2 linked regions of the Diceros bicornis minor genome follow. The protein of the gene in region 2 purifies or fractionates together with the protein of the main gene of each other region. This does not show direct contact. Links are inferred from orthologs where the notes say so. Each region holds a gene or a part of one and is shown on either strand. Other genes may lie near its edges.

Region 1 (7,767 bases), on a different chromosome or scaffold from region 2:
AAGCCTGAATTCGTGGACATCATCAATGCCAAACAATAAGCCCCATCCATCTCCCCTGCCCGTCCTGCTAAGCCAGGGACTAGGTAGCTCAGAAGCCCAATAATTGCATCCCCAGCTCCACCCCCCCACACACATGCTTCTGGTCGTGTCACCTGCCCCCTCTCCTGGCCTAATCCAAACTGTACCTCTTCCTTTACTGTTTACACCTTACCCTATAATGGTTGGGACCAGGCCAATCCCTTCTCCACTTACTGTAATAGTTGGAACTAAATATGTCACCAAGGTGGCTTCTCCTTGGCTGAGAGGTGGAAGGGGTAGAGTTTGCTCTTGGGTCCCCTCAGTCCCCAGTGAGGGAGGAGAAAGAAGCCATCCTCCTCTCCCATCTCACACCATGAGGCCAAGGGCTGAGAGACAGCCCGGTCCTCCCCTCCAAGGCCAGGGGTGCTGCTCTCTCCCTTGGTGCCAACGCCTGTGTGTGTTGTGTATGTGAGCAGTCCCACGTGTGGGGGAAATAAACAGCTGGAAGTAAGCCTTGTTGTTTGTCCTTCTTCACAATACTTGCCCATATCATCTCTCTCTCTCTTTTTTGAGGCAGCCAGAGGACCCTTGTGCAAAAAAATACCACGAACAGGTTTCCGCAACAGCACATCTCTTAGCATTTTTACTTGAAAAAATGTCTTTCGTACCAGGCTGCCACAGCCTTGAATAACAGCTCCTCCCTTCCACCCCGCCTCTGGGTGGCTCTGGGGCTGTTGAGCTCCCCGGAGCTTGGGTTGGGGTAGGGGCCCAGCCTCACCTCCCCCACCCTCACTGGCTTGACATAGCTGGTCTAGGCCAGCAGTGCCTCCTTCCCCCCACCCAGGGGAGAGGGGTGTCAAGGCCCCAGCGCAGTCTGTGGTATCACTGGTAGAGCAGGTAGCGCTTCATGGCAGGGGGCAAGGGCAGAGCAGATACCTGGCTAAGCCGGGTATCTCCCAGGGCGTGGCGCACACACAGGCGGCTCAGGTGCAGAAGGGAGTGTGGCTCCGCTGGGAGAAAGAAGGAGAGGAAGTTAGGTAGGAGTGCAGCCACCAGCCAGATATCCTCAAACTACTGGGTCCTGCCCAGGTTCCCTTCTGCTTTCCTGCTCCGAGTCTGCTCCCACCTTGCTTGAAAGGGAGATCTAAGGCACCTCTATCTGCTCTTGGGGTGAGAGGCATCTCAGAATTCATACATCCCCAGTCAGAGCTGGGGTGCTATAGCTAAGGCCCAAGGTGGCTCTGATGACGGTGGAGCTGGCCCAGGCTTTGATTCCAGAGAGGCCTTGAAGCCAGGGATGATGAGGTGAGAGGAAGGATTGCCCTCCTCTGCTCTCGAATAGCTCACATGGGTGACAGGAGGAGAGGCATCCTTGTTCTGCTGAAGACTGCAACTGCAGAGAATGTTCAGTTCAATCAGCCCCAAGCCCTGGCCCCTTCAGTTGCCAAGGAGACCCTTCCCCTGCAGCCCCACCCCCAGACTCGGCCTCCTTCACTGCTCCCTTCCTGGTGCCCAGGGCCTCAATGGATCCTTCCTGGGGTTTGACTGAGGAAGGAAGTAGGTATGTGTCACAGACAGGTCAGAGCCCAGAGACGCTGGTCCACACCCTGGGTGCCTGGCACTCCCAGTCCTCTTTCTATTGGACTTGGACACCTAGCTCAGTACCCATCTACCCTTTGCACCTCTTGCTCCAGGGGCTGATATCGCCTGTAAGGCCCTAACTCTGAATCCCTGGAGTGTCTCCCTCCAGTCTGAGGGATCACCACTTACTAGCAAGTTGCTTTCTCAAGCCTCACTTTTACCTCTATTGCTTTTGGGAGGATTACATCAGGTAACAGCTGTGAAGACCCTTAGCCATTTCTGGCACTGAATAGGGGCAGGAGGCAGGTGAGATGAAGGCCCATTCCCTCTGTTCTTGTAAGGCGCTGAGCTGCCATCCCAAAACACAGCCACCAGTGATAGAACCCTCTCCCCACACCTGCCCCAAGCCTCACCTCTCCTTTCGCCCAGGTAGCTGATGCGGACCTGGCACTGGCCCCAGACAGCGCTTACTGCCGGATAGAGGGTCCGGCCCTTCAGTCCGCGGAAAGCTGGCCCCAGGTAGGTGCCCCCAATTGCGTAGCCCAGAGTTCCCTCCTCCATGTCCAGAACTACCAGCAGCCTCTCCGGCACCTCCAGCTGCTCACCCTGAGGTCCGGCTGGATACTGGGGGGCCCCGGGCCCCTTGCTCTGATGGTACAGCTTCCCCCGGCCAATGTCCCAGCCCCAGGACTCGCTGTTGCTGCCCAGCAGCGCCGCATAGTGGTCAGCCTGCAGCGGGGCGAGGGCTGTGGCCACGCCCACCACGGCGTGGGTGCCCCTCTGCTCGCGGGGCCAGCAGATCTCCCAGGCATGCAGGCCCCTCGAGTAGCCTCTCTTACCCCGGGCCCCATCAGTGCTCTGGGCCACGGGCCGCCGCTCAAAGCACAACCCCCCTTCCTTGACCTCGATGTTCTCTGAGCAGTCCTTGGGGTTCCAGCCGTGGCGCCGTTGGGCCCCCAGGTCAGGAGGAGGCGCAGACAGCAGCTCCTCCAAGCCCTCTGGACAAGAGAGGTCAGGGTACAGGGCCTGTGGGGTGGGGGTGCTGCTGCTGCTGCTGCTGCCCCCTGCCAGGGCCGTCTGGCCCATGGAGGTGAGTAGCCGGAGGACTCCCCGAAAGAGTCTTGCTGGGGCGTCTCTCTTCTGAAAGTTGAGCTCCCGTTCGGGATTGACCTGGAGAGGAGTTGGAGAGGAGGAGGGTGTGAAGTGCGGGATCCTGGAGGGGGTTCCTCACCCAGGCGCTCCATCCTCCCATCCATGTTTGCCCATCGCCCCTCTCTTCCCCCTTCGCTTCCCAAAAGCTCCCAGGCCCATCACCTTGTCCTCACCCATCTGTCCCGGTCTCCCTAGACTCTCGCGAGTTCTCCTCCTTTGGGCCTCTCCGGGGGCCGTCACCCTTGCCTGCACCGTGCCCCCGTCACGGTCCCCGAACCTCGCTTGGCTTCCCAGGCCGGGAGGTCGCCGGGCCTCGGGAGGAGCCCAGTCGACAGCCACGGCGCACCGGGCGCTGATCGCCGGCCGCTTCCGCCTCCAGCACCTCCCCCAGGCCCCGCCCCGCCCGACGTCCCGCCCCCAAGGGGGCACCAGGGGCGGTTAACCCTCCCGTCGCCGCCCCAGGTCGCGCCCGGCCCCGAGGCCACGCCCCCGTAAAGCCCACTTCTGGCGGTTAACCTCTGGTCACCGCCCCACGCGAGGAGGCTCTCCCGGGCGGTTAACCCTTCTCCGGCCGCTACAGAGTCCGCACCCGGGCAGTCCAGGCTCCGAATTAACCCTTTGATAGTATCATCGTTTTGGGATCCCTGGAGGTCTGTTCTCCATCGTCAAGACCTTTGAGCAGCCTGGCTACCAACTCCTCAGCCCCTAGAGATGAGGGGCATGGGGTCTAGGAGGGGCTTCCATAGTGTTGACATCTGTTTCCACGGCCCTTTGATTCTGGGTCACTGTTTCTGGGCTGGTCTCTTTCTAGCCCAGTTGTGAGTCAGCCTGTTGTATGTCTGAGGTTTGGAACTCTGTGCTTTGAGCCTAGGTGTCATAGGTCTCCATTGCTGTTCTAGTCTTCATCCTGGACGTCAATCCATTCCTGAGCTGTTGGTTTCACTTGGTAGTGCAGTGGTTAAGACCTTGGTTGTGAGTGAAGCTATGCTACTAATTAGCTGTGTGACCTTGGGGAGGTTGCCAAACTTCTCTAAACCTGTTTTCTCTTATGTAAAATGGGAATGATGATGGTACTTACCTCATAGGGTTGTTGTGGAGTTGAAATAATTCAGGTAAAGCACTTAGCACAGAGCCTGGTACATAGAATGCACTCACTAAGCATAGCTATTATCGTTTACCTAACATTTACTAAGTGCCCACTCTATAGAAAGGCCATATGATATAGTGGTGAAAGATGCTAACTGTGGAGCCAGGCTGACTGAGTGTGACTACTCCAAGGCCAGTATGCACGTGACCTTGGGCAAATTACTGAACCTCCCTGGTGCCTGTTTCTTCCTCTGTAAAATGGAGATACTATTGGGTATCTACTGCATGGGGTGTAGTGAGGGTTCTGTGAGGTTATATATACATAAAGCACTTAGTTTCCGGTTCAAATTTAATCATTTGTGTTAAGCACTGAAGATTAAGCATTGAATCCTCAAAGAAGTTAGAAGGACATTTATAAAACAGCTTATCATGTAGTAGATGAAATTATGGAGATATCATGAAAGTATTATGGGAGTAAAAAGAATGGGACTTCTAATAGGGGGTCAAGCAGTTAGGAAAGAAAAATGTCCTGGAGGAGATGACACTGGGCTGAATCTTAAAGATTGACTAGAAATTGGTCTGAGAAGTGGTTCTGCAGCTTGGGGGTTGGGTTAGGGTTGCTGCATGTAGAAGGCATTCCAGACAGAGGGGTCAGCATGAAAAAAGCCGGAATCAGTAGGTGGGTTTGGGGAAATTCAAAGACTTCAGGGTTGCTGCAACGGGAAAGGAAGCAGGAGAGACAAGCCTAGAGAAGTCAGTGCCAGATCTTGAGGCCTTGCAGGCCAGTTAAGGAATGCAAATATCTTGTAGGACAGGCCAGTAATGGGGAGCCACATATATCTTCTTCTACAGATAGAAGCAGGAGAGGAACATGGTCAGACACTCATTTTAGAAAAACCTCCCTGGCAGCAATGTAGAGGAGGTTTCCAGGGAAATAGGACTGGAAGCAAGGAGACTGGTTCCAGCAGACCAGGTGACAAGTGTCAAAAGCCTGAAATAGGGAAGTGGAAAGAAGATGAAAAGAATTCAAGAAACACTGATAAAACTGCAAGATTTGGTGACTACTTGGATGCTGAGGCAGGGAAAGGAAAGAGAATAAGGGAGGTTTCTAGCCTGGAAGACTCTCTTGGAAGGTGGTAGCACTAATGAAGATGGAGATGACAGAAAGAGGAGCAACAGGGGCAGGAGGGTGGGAGAGAGGTGGTGAGTTCAGTTTAGGACGTGTTTTTTGAGGTGCCTGAGCAACAACCAGATGGAACCATCTAGAACACACTTGAAAATAGCAGGTCTGGAGGGGGAGTGAGAGGCCTGGGCTGGAGATATAAATCTGTGAGCTGCGTCAGCCTGTAGTCAGGAGTTGAACTATGAGAATCAATGAGGGAACCCAGAGAGAGTGTGTAGAGTGAGAAGAGGGTCAGGGAGGATACAGTGCAGCAGAAAATTCAGGTTTGATTACTTACAAAATTTTTTTTTGTCGTCGGCAACTTTGGTGAGAGAGCACATGTGGGTTGTGGAAGGTGGGAGTCTGGCTGAACTGGCACTTTCTGTGTGTCAGGCACTGTGCTACAAGCTTCACATTTTTAGGGGATAGAGAGTCAGAGAGGTTAGGTGACAATTATGTCTCATAGTCAAAATTACCCTTGAAAATCCCTTCTTACCCCATCTATTAGGTACAGCATATGTTAGTTTTGTGTAAAATACAGTATGTGGCAGTATGTATACAATGATGTACAGAATAAAATTTTATAATATTTTAAGAGAAAGAAGAAAGCATATTAAAAAGAAAGATATGAGGGCCAGCCCCGTGGCTTAGCGGTTAAGTGCGCGCTCCGCTACTGGTGGCCCGGGTTCGGATCCCGGGCATGCACCGACGCACTGCTTCTCCGGCCATGCTGAGGCCGCGTCCCACATACAGCAACTAGAAGGATGTGTAACTCTGACATACAACTATCTACTGGGGCTTTGGGGGAAAAAAAAATGGAGGAGGATTGGCAATAGATGTTAGCTCAGAGCCCGTCTTCCTCAGCAAAAAGAGGAGGATTAGCATGGATGTTAGCTCAGGGCTGATCTTCCTCGAAAAAAAAAAAAGATATGAACCTGAACACTTGTCATCCACCCAACCTGGATCGTCTTGCCAGTGTGACGACAAAAATAATGACACTATGACTGTGAGTAGCAGCCTATTGTGAATATTAGTGCAGGACCTGTGTGATAAGCGAGTGGATGAAGGCTTAGGGGACAGAGAGCGAGCATACGCCATGGCTGACTCTAGTTCATCTTGAGAAGTTGACCGTACCTGCTCAGCTGCTGGTTGTTTAAAGCATGGTATTCACAAATTGTTGCACTGATCTTGAACTGCTCAAACATTCGTTGATAATAGCTCAAATATTCATAATGCTACAAGTAATTTTAATATTTTACTTTTTTATCGAGATATAACATAAAGTATATTAATCTTAAATTGCTCAATGAGTTTTTACATATTACAAAAATATTTACACATGCTGTGTGACCACCACCACGAAGATCAAGATCAAGAACATTTCCAGCATCCCAGAAGGTTCCTTCTTACCCTTTCCCTGACACTACACCCCTAAAGGTAACTCCCATTTGACCTCTATCAGTATAGATTAGCTTTGTTTCTTCTTTGATTTCATATAAATGAAACCATATGGTATATATTCTTTTGTGTCTGACTTATTTTTCTCAACATTATGTCTGTGCGAGTCATCCATGTTGTTGCATGAAATAGAATGCATTATTTTCATCGTTTTACAGTATTTCAGTGTATGGATATACCACAATTTATCTATTCTACTATTGATAGACATTTGATTTGTTTCCAGTTTTTAGCTGTTATAGAGAAGGCTGCTGTGTACAGTATTGTACAAGTCTTTTGGTGGACCTAGGCACTCATTTTTGTTGGGTATATACTTATGTGCAGAATGGCTGGGTTATAAGGAATCACAATGTACAGATTTAACCACATGTAATTTTGAGGTTTCTCTCCATAGAGGGATTTTATTCAGAAATTAAATCATTCAGGAGCTGGCCCCGTGGTGTAGCGGTTAAGTGCGTGTGCTCGGCTGCTGGCAGCCCAGGTTCGGATCCTGGGCGCGCACCGACACACTGCTGGTCAGGCCATGCTGTGGCAGCATCCCACATAAAGTGGAGGAAGATAGGCACGGATGTTAGTCCAGGGCCAGTCTTCCTCAGCAAAAAGAGGAGGATTGGCATGGATGTTAGCTCAGGGCTGATCTTCCTCACAAAAAAAAACAAAAAAGGAATCATTCAGGTATTTTGTAGCATGGAGCACTTGAACATATTTATAAAGATGTGAACTGGTCTTCTCTTCCTGTTCATCATATCTTTGTCTTCTGGGGATGATTTTATCAGTTCCTCAAGCTTTTTATTAGCGTTTCTCTGTGGCTCTCAAGAAGTTCTTCAATTTCTTCCACAAAGCCAACATGATCCACTTGCTAGGCCACTTGAACAGTGAGTTTCACTTCTTTGTCAATAGAAAACCCTTAAAGTCCTAAACACATTCTTCCCAACATGCATTGACAGTTTTAGGCTTGATTGTTTCCATGCCTGTTTAATATAAATAATGCAACTGGCAATACCCAAGAATTTCCAACTCTTCCAACTCATTACCACATTAAGACTAGGGTCAGCATTCACGGCTCTGAGAGTCAAAGAGGAATCTCAGCCTCATGTATGTGGCTTTGAAACAGCAAAGCATGCTTAGATCAGCAGAGTGAAGGATAGGGGTGATGTTGGGGGGAAGACGACTTCCATGTCTTTATGAGCACACTCATAAAGTGTGTGGTACCTCGGAGGGGTACTGCTGTGTGTGATCAGCAACACTAAAGCCAAGGCCTTTCTCTCTCAGGTCCTACTTCTAGAATGTGGAACTATAAAACCAAATCA
Region 2 (8,034 bases):
TTTACCCAACAATGGCTAAGTATTTTAATAAAGTACTTGGGAGTAAACACTAGGAATGAGAACCTAAAGGGTATACTATAAGTTTTCAAAATTCAATCTGTATTACTATTTGCTTGATGAAGGAGGTAACAGAATATTTCAGGGAGCTATGCAATAGATTCATTCACTAGCTGGAAGAGGAATCAAAGTTGGATAAAAGGAAGTTCAAACCAACAGAAAAAAATAGTTTTTAACATAAGTTGGAGAAAAATAATTAGGTAAAAGTAGAGCCACGGTGGAGCTGAAGCCTGCTTCTCCTCTTACCCTGGGTTCTGCTCAGGCATTTGTTTGCTTCTCTCTGCACGCCCTTACCCTAAAAAAACACACCACCCTGGCCTCTTCAGCATGGATGAAAAACAACCACTGCCTCCTGAGGCTTTCTTCAATTCCACAATTACTGAGTATCTATTCTATACAAGGAGTTATGCACTGGGACACCAAAATGGCCAAGTCTGGGTCCCTGGTCTCACCAGCATATGGGGAGGTGGACAGGCAAACAACTAAATAGCCTAAGGATCGTGATCTAACAGTGGAGACATGGCTGGTTCTGTGCAATCACAGAATTCGAGTTTGTGATCCCAACTGCCTCTTTTACAAATTAGGAAAACAAGCCTCCAAAAGGTTACGTCAAATGTCCAAGTTAACATGCAGCCATGTTGGTTACTCTGGCTCTTCAGAACTTGGCAGTGCTAGCAAACCCACTCCCCTCTTCCTCATCAGCACTTGCTCACTGTGCCCTCTGCTCCTTGCAGAACGAAGAGAGGAGAGTGGAAACGGAGGAAGAGAGCGTTAACCACATCAGAATGGGCTGACAGGTAAATCTTGGATCAAGAAGTCATAATAAATCATTTAGGTGTACGAGATGAATTCCAAATATTAAGGAAATGGGATTAAGTGGGCTCTTTCTGTAGAATCTAGAAATCCCTGAATGGTGCTTATGGCTTTGATTTAGATTCATTATCAAAAACTGACTTATATGGAAAAAATACCTAAAGTTTCAGATTAAGGAAAAAGCTTCTTTTGAGGATGTTTCTAATATCCAAAAGAGCACATTTCTAAGGAGTATAGTAACAGTAACACCTTTCAGAATGATGCTAGGGTAAGGGCTGGGGAGTCTGAAAAACAAACTTCCTTCTGCCGTCTGTCACCTGACCACTAAGTGGATTTTAACACCTCATAAACAAAATACAAAGGTCTAGTCCAGAATACTTTCCTGAACCCAAAGTACAGCTGTTGTCCACCTGCAACATTAATCCACAGTAGCAGAACACTTGCTATAATTAGAAAGTTAATGTGAATGTGAGCTATTGACAGCTCATATTTTGACTTACTTTAAATATCCCAGTAAAGTTTATTTGTTGCAAAATTTCAACCATTATTTTAAATTCCGCATTTCTACTTACTATTTTAAAATTTTTCTTTGGAGAGAAAAATAAACATTCTCGCAAGAGACCAAAAGATTAAGTCGCCTGGAAAAGCTAAAAATGCCACCCAAACTGGAAATTATGATTCTAGTTCTTAAGTAAGGGTTGGAGTAAAGGGGCTGTATTGCAGGCCAATAAAGAAGGTGCTTTTAAAACCTAATATGTAAAGTAAGTGGATCATGTTTCAAAGAAATCACGTTCTCTCAAAAGTAGAATAAAAATATTTGAATCCCATTGTTGTAAATTATTTCTGAAACAAGTCCTTATGAATAAAACACAAGAGAGCAAACTAAAGAGAGTGTAAATTGTGGAATCTCTTGATACTGGTAGGTTTAAAATTTCATCCCTCGAGAAGGGAGAGCAATTCTCTTCAAGCTATTTTCTCCAATTCTCTCATTTTTTAGGACAAGACACAAAGTTTAAAAACTACAGAAACCTCAGTTTTCTTCATCTGCCCTCAAGAAAAGGCATTTAGGATGCTCTCACTAGTTTTAAATGCCTTACTTCAAATTATAACTTGCATTTAAACAGCCCGTCTTTTCCAAGGTGATCTGAGATCTTAAAACAGAAACCATATACAACGTAACGAGATGAAGCTGTTCTGAAAGGTTTCCCTTGGTCCAATATTTTTATTCAAAATACCGTAGAAAGAAATAAAACTTATTTGTGAAACAGGGTTCTCCGTCAAGGACCGACGCCGAGCAGGGCAGTATCTTTCTCAGGAAAGATATGATGGGGAGAGGCCGGGAAGAAGTTTCGTGTTTCTAAATAAAGGGCTTCCATTCTTCAATTCCCAGGAAATTTAAACATTCTTGAATCACACTGTACCCCCTTAGCCGAGCGAGTGACATCTGCCGCGTCCTGAATCGTGCGGATTTAAAAGCCAGCAGAACAGCAGGAGCTAATCCAGAAATGCAGCGGCTGGGAAGGCTTTTGCTCCCCGCGCCTCGCAGGAGCGGAACCGAGGTGTGGTTTGCGGGAAGATGACTCGGGGGCATCGCCGGTGTGTGAGCAGAACCATCACCGAGCCCGGCTGACTCAAGGCCTTCACCCCGACCTCTCCGCGGTTTGCTTTCAGAAGGGGCTGCCGGGGCTGGCCACACAAACCGAAGTGGTTCCTCCCAGCTCCCACCAAGCCTCCCAGTTTTATCTTCTTGATCACACCCGTCACTACCTGAAATTATCCTGTTTAACTCCTCTGCCCACTGCCCGTTTCTCTCCACAGAACGCCAGCCCCCGGCGCCGGGCGCCTGTTGAAGCGCAGCCCCCAGGCGGCGGCCGCAGCCTCCCGTCCAGCGTGGTCCCCGGCCCGCTCGCGCCGGGGCAGGAGTCTCTCCGAGGCTTCGTCCGCCCCCCGCCAGGAGCCGGCTCCGCGGAGGCCGCAGCGCGGCCCGGGCCTCGTGTGAGCGCTTACCCATCACCTGGACCCTGCAGATGGCGCACGTATCGCACTCCACGTCCCAGCTCCACATGGCCACCGCGTTCCACTTCTTGAGAGAGAACATTTTGTCGCCTCCCGACTTGGAGCCTGCGCTCCCGGAGTGCGACGACAGGGCGCAGGGCTCCTCGCCGTCTTCCACGTCGGCCATGACGGCGGCGCGGAGCCGGCCGCCGAGACGTTGGGTCGCGGGAGGAGGGCGGCTATGGCGGCTCTGTGGGGCCGCCCGACGGGCCACAGCGCCGCCCGCAGGCCCGCGGGGCCTACGGCAGCGGCTGCCCGCGATTGGCTGGCGCGGCCTAGTGACGTCACCGCACGCCAGCGCCCGGCGCATCCCCGCCCCGCGCGCCGGGGCTGCCCGCAGGGCCTCCTGGCGGCTGCCGGCTGAAGGCCTGAGTCGCCCGCGTGCGGTGTCACTCTGGGGAGAGCGGGCGCACCCTGCGGGGAACGCGTGTCCTGCTTTATGCCTTCGGGAGACTTGCGGCTCTCAGAAATTATCTTGTTAATGTATTCGTTTGCCTCGTCCCTCCCAAATGTAAACTCCATCAGAGCAGCGACCTTGTCTTTATCACTTCCTTATCCTCAGTATCTAAAAAATGCCTTGCCTCACGGGACGCAATTATTTGAGTGAATGTTCTAGAAATCTGGTTGAATGGTTCTCGAACTTTTTGGTCTCAGGACCCCTTAACACTTAAAAATTCTTAGGACCTTAAAGAGTTTTTGTTTATGTAGGATATATATTTAATTTAAAGGAAAATGTAAAATGGGGGAAAAATTTTAAATGTACTCATTCATTTAAAAATAACAGAAATAAACCAATTACAAATTAGCATTAGAGCAGTAACATCACATATCATGTACCTTCTGGAAAACACTATATTCATGAGTGAGAGTGAGAAGAGAGACAGCTCTGAATATTGTTATGCAAATAGTTTTGATTTCATTGGTCCCTTGAAGGAGGGATCTCAGGAACCCTGGGGAGCACACTCTGAGAACCTCTGGTCTAGTTTAACCTCCTCCTTTTATGTGTAGGAGTAATGGGGTCCAGAAAAGTGAGTAACTTAAAGAGCACATTGCTATTAGGTGAAGGTTACAGTTTTGAGGCCAGGGTTCTTCTATTCCTAGCCCGGGGTAATATTACCTATTATATTTTCCCAAGCAAAGCAGACAGCATCTCCATTTAAAAGATAAGAAAACTGACGCACAGAGAGCCTAAGGAGATGCCTGATTACCACCACCACCTAGTGGTGGACACCTGCTGTGTCAGGTTTGGAATTCAGAGCCTCCCACCTCTTCTTGCTGGGCCTCATCATCCCCTCATCTCTTGATGCCAGGCCTTGTGCCTGGAGGTGCTAACCAGGCTCAAGGAGCCTGGCAGAGGAGACAAGGATGCATAAATGTGTTGTTGTTATTAGTGCTGTGGAGTCAATTCTGACTCCTAGTGACACTGTGTACAGCAGAGGGGAACCCTGCCTGGTCTTTTGCGCCATCCTCTCACCTTCCAGCGCTATATCAGACAATGCTCTGCTGCTATTCACAGGGTTTTCATGGCCAGTTTTTTCGTAAGTGGGTGGCAAGGTCCTTCTTCCTAGCATAAATGTGTAAAAATACAAATATGGACACAGGGTCACATTTGACGAGATGATAATGTGTGCTGTTTGTTGAGTGGTGTGTTCAGTGCTGTGAGGGACAGAGACATTGCTGAGAACTGACACAGTGAGCAAAAGCCTCAAGGAAGAGGTGAAGTTTGAACTGCGGGGAGGTGAGAGGCCCTGGAGGCCAGGAAACGAGTGAAGAAAGCAAACCTCTACGAGCTGTCAGCCTGTGCAGAGCAGTGGTAATGGTGGCAGATGTGAATCTGACCACACTAACTTTGTGAGCCAGACAAAAACGCCTATAAACAAACCCAGATGAACCATACAAAACACACATTTTATTCATATTAAGTGACCACACATCTGACTAGAGATGGCTCTACATGCTAGATAGCTCATACAAAAAGAAGGCTGGAACCAGATGAGGATAAAATGCACCCAGCTGGTGGGAACTGGGCAGTTTGAAATAGAAAAGGAGGGAAACTCAGATGAAAGGATGAAAGACTAGAGGATGGTTAAGGAGGAGAAATGGTACATGGCTGGGCCGAGTCTGAGCCTCATCACCCTGCCCCTGGATTATTGTGTCCTGACTTCCTTCCTGTCTCTCCCCCGCAGTCTAACTGGCTTTCAATCTAACGTGCCTGTTTAATTTTCCTATATCCCATTTTCCACCTGGCACTCTCCTGCTCAGAACATTCCACAGCCCCACGTTATTGTCAGAAAAAAATCTAAATGACCCAGTTGGTCATTTAAATCCTGCCACAATATGGCCCCAACCCTACTTTTCTAGCGTCTTCCCCAAGCACCGCTATCCAAGACCCTCATCAAATTGGTCTGCTCAGTCATCCAAACACACCCTGCGGTCTTTTTTTTTTTTCCCCTCACATTTTAACATTTCTGAAATTGCCCTCTGCATTTAGGAAAACTTACACACCTTTGTGTCCTCACCGACCACTCTTTGCCACCATTTATTCATATCCTTCCATGAAATAATAGCACTTACTGTGTCTCTTTTACTCTTTGGCACCAGGTCACATAGCAACCAAAAAATGCTGTTACTGCTGTTTATTGAACAATTTTAAGTTTTTAAAATTGAGAGCTCATAAATGATAAAAACATTAAAATAGTAAAATGGGTATACAATGAAAAAAAGCAAGTACTGTTAATAGACTCTCCAGAAATTCCTATATATGTGCAAGCAGACACTTAATACATCAGCTCATTTTTAAAATTTTTAATTGTGGTAAAATACACATAACATAAAGTCTACCATCCTGACCATTTTTAAGTGTACAGTTCAATGGTATTAAGTACATTCACACTGTTATGCAATCAATCTCCAGAACTTTTTCATCTTCCAAAACTGAAACTCCATACCCATTAAACAACTCTCCATTTCCCTCTCCTCCCCCTGGCATCCACCATTCTACTTTCTGTTTCTCAGTTTGACTACTTTAAATATCCCATATAAGCGGAATCATACAGTATTTGTCTTTTTGTGACTGGTTTATTTCACTTAGCATAATGTCCTCAAGGTTCATCCATGTAGCATATGTCAGAATTTCCTTCCTTTTTAAAGCTGAATAATATTCCATTGTGTGTATATACCATATTTTCCTTATCCATTCATTTAGGTTGCTTCCACCTTTGACTATTGTGAATAACGCTGCTATGAACATGGGTGTACAAATATCTCTTCATGATCCTGCTTTCAATTCTTTTGTGTATATACTCAGAAGTGAAATTGCAGGCCGGCCCCGTGGCTTAGCGGTTAAGCATGCGCTCCACTACTGGCGGCCCGGGTTCGGATCCCGGGCGCGCACCAACGCACCGCTTCTCCGGCCATGCTGAGGCAGCGTCCCACATACAGCAACTAGAAGGACGTGCAACTATGACATACAACTATCTACTGGGGCTTTGGGGCAAAAAAAGGAGGAAGGTTGGCAATAGATGTTAGCTCAGAGCCGGTCTTCCTCAGCAAAAAGAGGAGGATTAGCATGGATGTTAGCTCAGGGCTGATCTTCCTCACAAAAAAAAAAAAGAAGAAGTGAAATTTCTGGCTCATATTACATCAATTCACTTTTAATATGAATTTTTCACATGTACTATTCTCTAGCCTGCTCTTTTTGTTTAATAGTATTACTTTACCTTTCCATATAAGTATTTACATATCTACATTATTCCTCTTGATGGCTGCATAGTATTCCACTACATATATTTTCTGTGATTTATTTCCCTGAGTATCCTCTGAGAGACATTTAGTTGTTTCCAGTGTATAATAAACAGTGCTGCTGTGAACATCCTTATGTATATTTCTTTGCACAGGTGTGAGAGTATATCTGTAAAATAAATTTCTAGAAGTAGAATATCTGGGTCAAAAGCTATGTATTTTTCATTTTGATAGACATTGCGAAAAGACCCCTAAAGAGGCATATAGATTTTACACTCTCATCCAGTAGATGTCAGTGGCAAATTTCAATTTTTTTGGGGGAGTGGAGGGAGGAAGATTGGCCCTGAGTTAACACCTGTGCCCATTTTTTATGTGGGATGCTGCCACAGCATGGCTTGATGAGCGGTGTGTAGGTCCACGCCTGGGTTCCAAACCTGCGAACCCCAGGCCACCAAGCAGGGTGTGTGAACTTAACCAATATGCCATGGGGCTGGCCCCTCAATTTTTTTTTTTAAATCAGGAATAATTTCTCAGGAGGCCTCACACAATGGATATTTAAGTTCTGGAGATTTGTTAAATTGATCTCACTACTCTATAACCTTCCTTACCCTGGTTAATGACATATTATTTCAACTCTTATGCTCCATTGTTGTTTACTTTTAATGTATGAGGATCTTGTCTTCCTTGCTAGATGCTAAGATCCTCAAGAGGAGACATAATTTATTCCACAGTTGGTTTGGTTCCACGAACTTGCCAGCACTTGTTACACCTGTACATAGAATGAATGTTTGTTTTTTTTTAACTTCAAAATGCAGAGGTCTTAAGTCTCCCTTTTTTTATTCTTTTCTATTTTTCTTATGTAGCTGTCCTAAGTGAAATAACTGGAATCACTCAATTCTAACATCAACAATAATAACAGCAGTAGTAAGAGCCACTAACATTCATTTGAGAGCATGTACTAAGAAACAAGTATTGTCCTAAGATGCTTGCCACGTGTCCTCTCATTTAATGTTCACCAAATGAGATAGATGCTTTTTTTTTTTTTTTTTTTTTTTTTGGTGAGGAAGATCAGCCCTGAGCTAACATCTGCCAATCCTCCTCTTTTTGCTGAGGAAGACTGGCCCTGGGCTAATATCCATGCCCATCTCCCTCCACTTTATATGGGACGCCGCCACAGCATGGCTTGACAAGCGGTGAGTCGGTGTGCGCCCGGGATCCAAACCAGCGACCCCCGGGCGGCCGCAGCAGAGTGGGCACACTTAACCACTTGCGCCACCAGGCCGGCCCTCCATAGATGGTATTCTTGTCTGTATCTTACATAAAGGGAAACTGAAGCACAATGAGGTTAATTGACTTGCCCAAAGTTAC

The links. Proteins that work in one complex are often made in the same cells at the same time.
Region 1: the proteins of RNF7 (region 2) and SPSB2 purify together in Homo sapiens (co-immunoprecipitation; 3 studies listed by BioGRID and IntAct, with this or other methods). This does not show direct contact. The link is inferred for Diceros bicornis minor from reciprocal best matches to the Homo sapiens genes RNF7 and SPSB2.

Annotation. Positions count from the first base shown.
Region 1 is NC_080756.1:54,870,662-54,878,428, reverse strand, and holds SPSB2 (SPRY domain-containing SOCS box protein 2), read right to left. Parts: upstream 3,098-7,767; 5' UTR 2,929-3,097; coding exon 2,914-2,928; intron 2,770-2,913; coding exon 2,013-2,769; intron 1,029-2,012; coding exon 901-1,028; 3' UTR 633-900; downstream 1-632. Other genes in the region: TPI1 (triosephosphate isomerase), read left to right, coding at 1-39. UniProt on the Homo sapiens protein: Substrate recognition component of a SCF-like ECS (Elongin BC-CUL2/5-SOCS-box protein) E3 ubiquitin-protein ligase complex which mediates the ubiquitination and subsequent proteasomal degradation of target proteins.
Region 2 is NC_080741.1:11,972,144-11,980,177, forward strand, and holds the start of RNF7 (RING-box protein 2), read right to left. Parts: upstream 3,088-8,034; 5' UTR 3,053-3,087; coding exon 2,878-3,052; intron 1-2,877. UniProt on the Homo sapiens protein: Catalytic component of multiple cullin-5-RING E3 ubiquitin-protein ligase complexes (ECS complexes), which mediate the ubiquitination and subsequent proteasomal degradation of target proteins.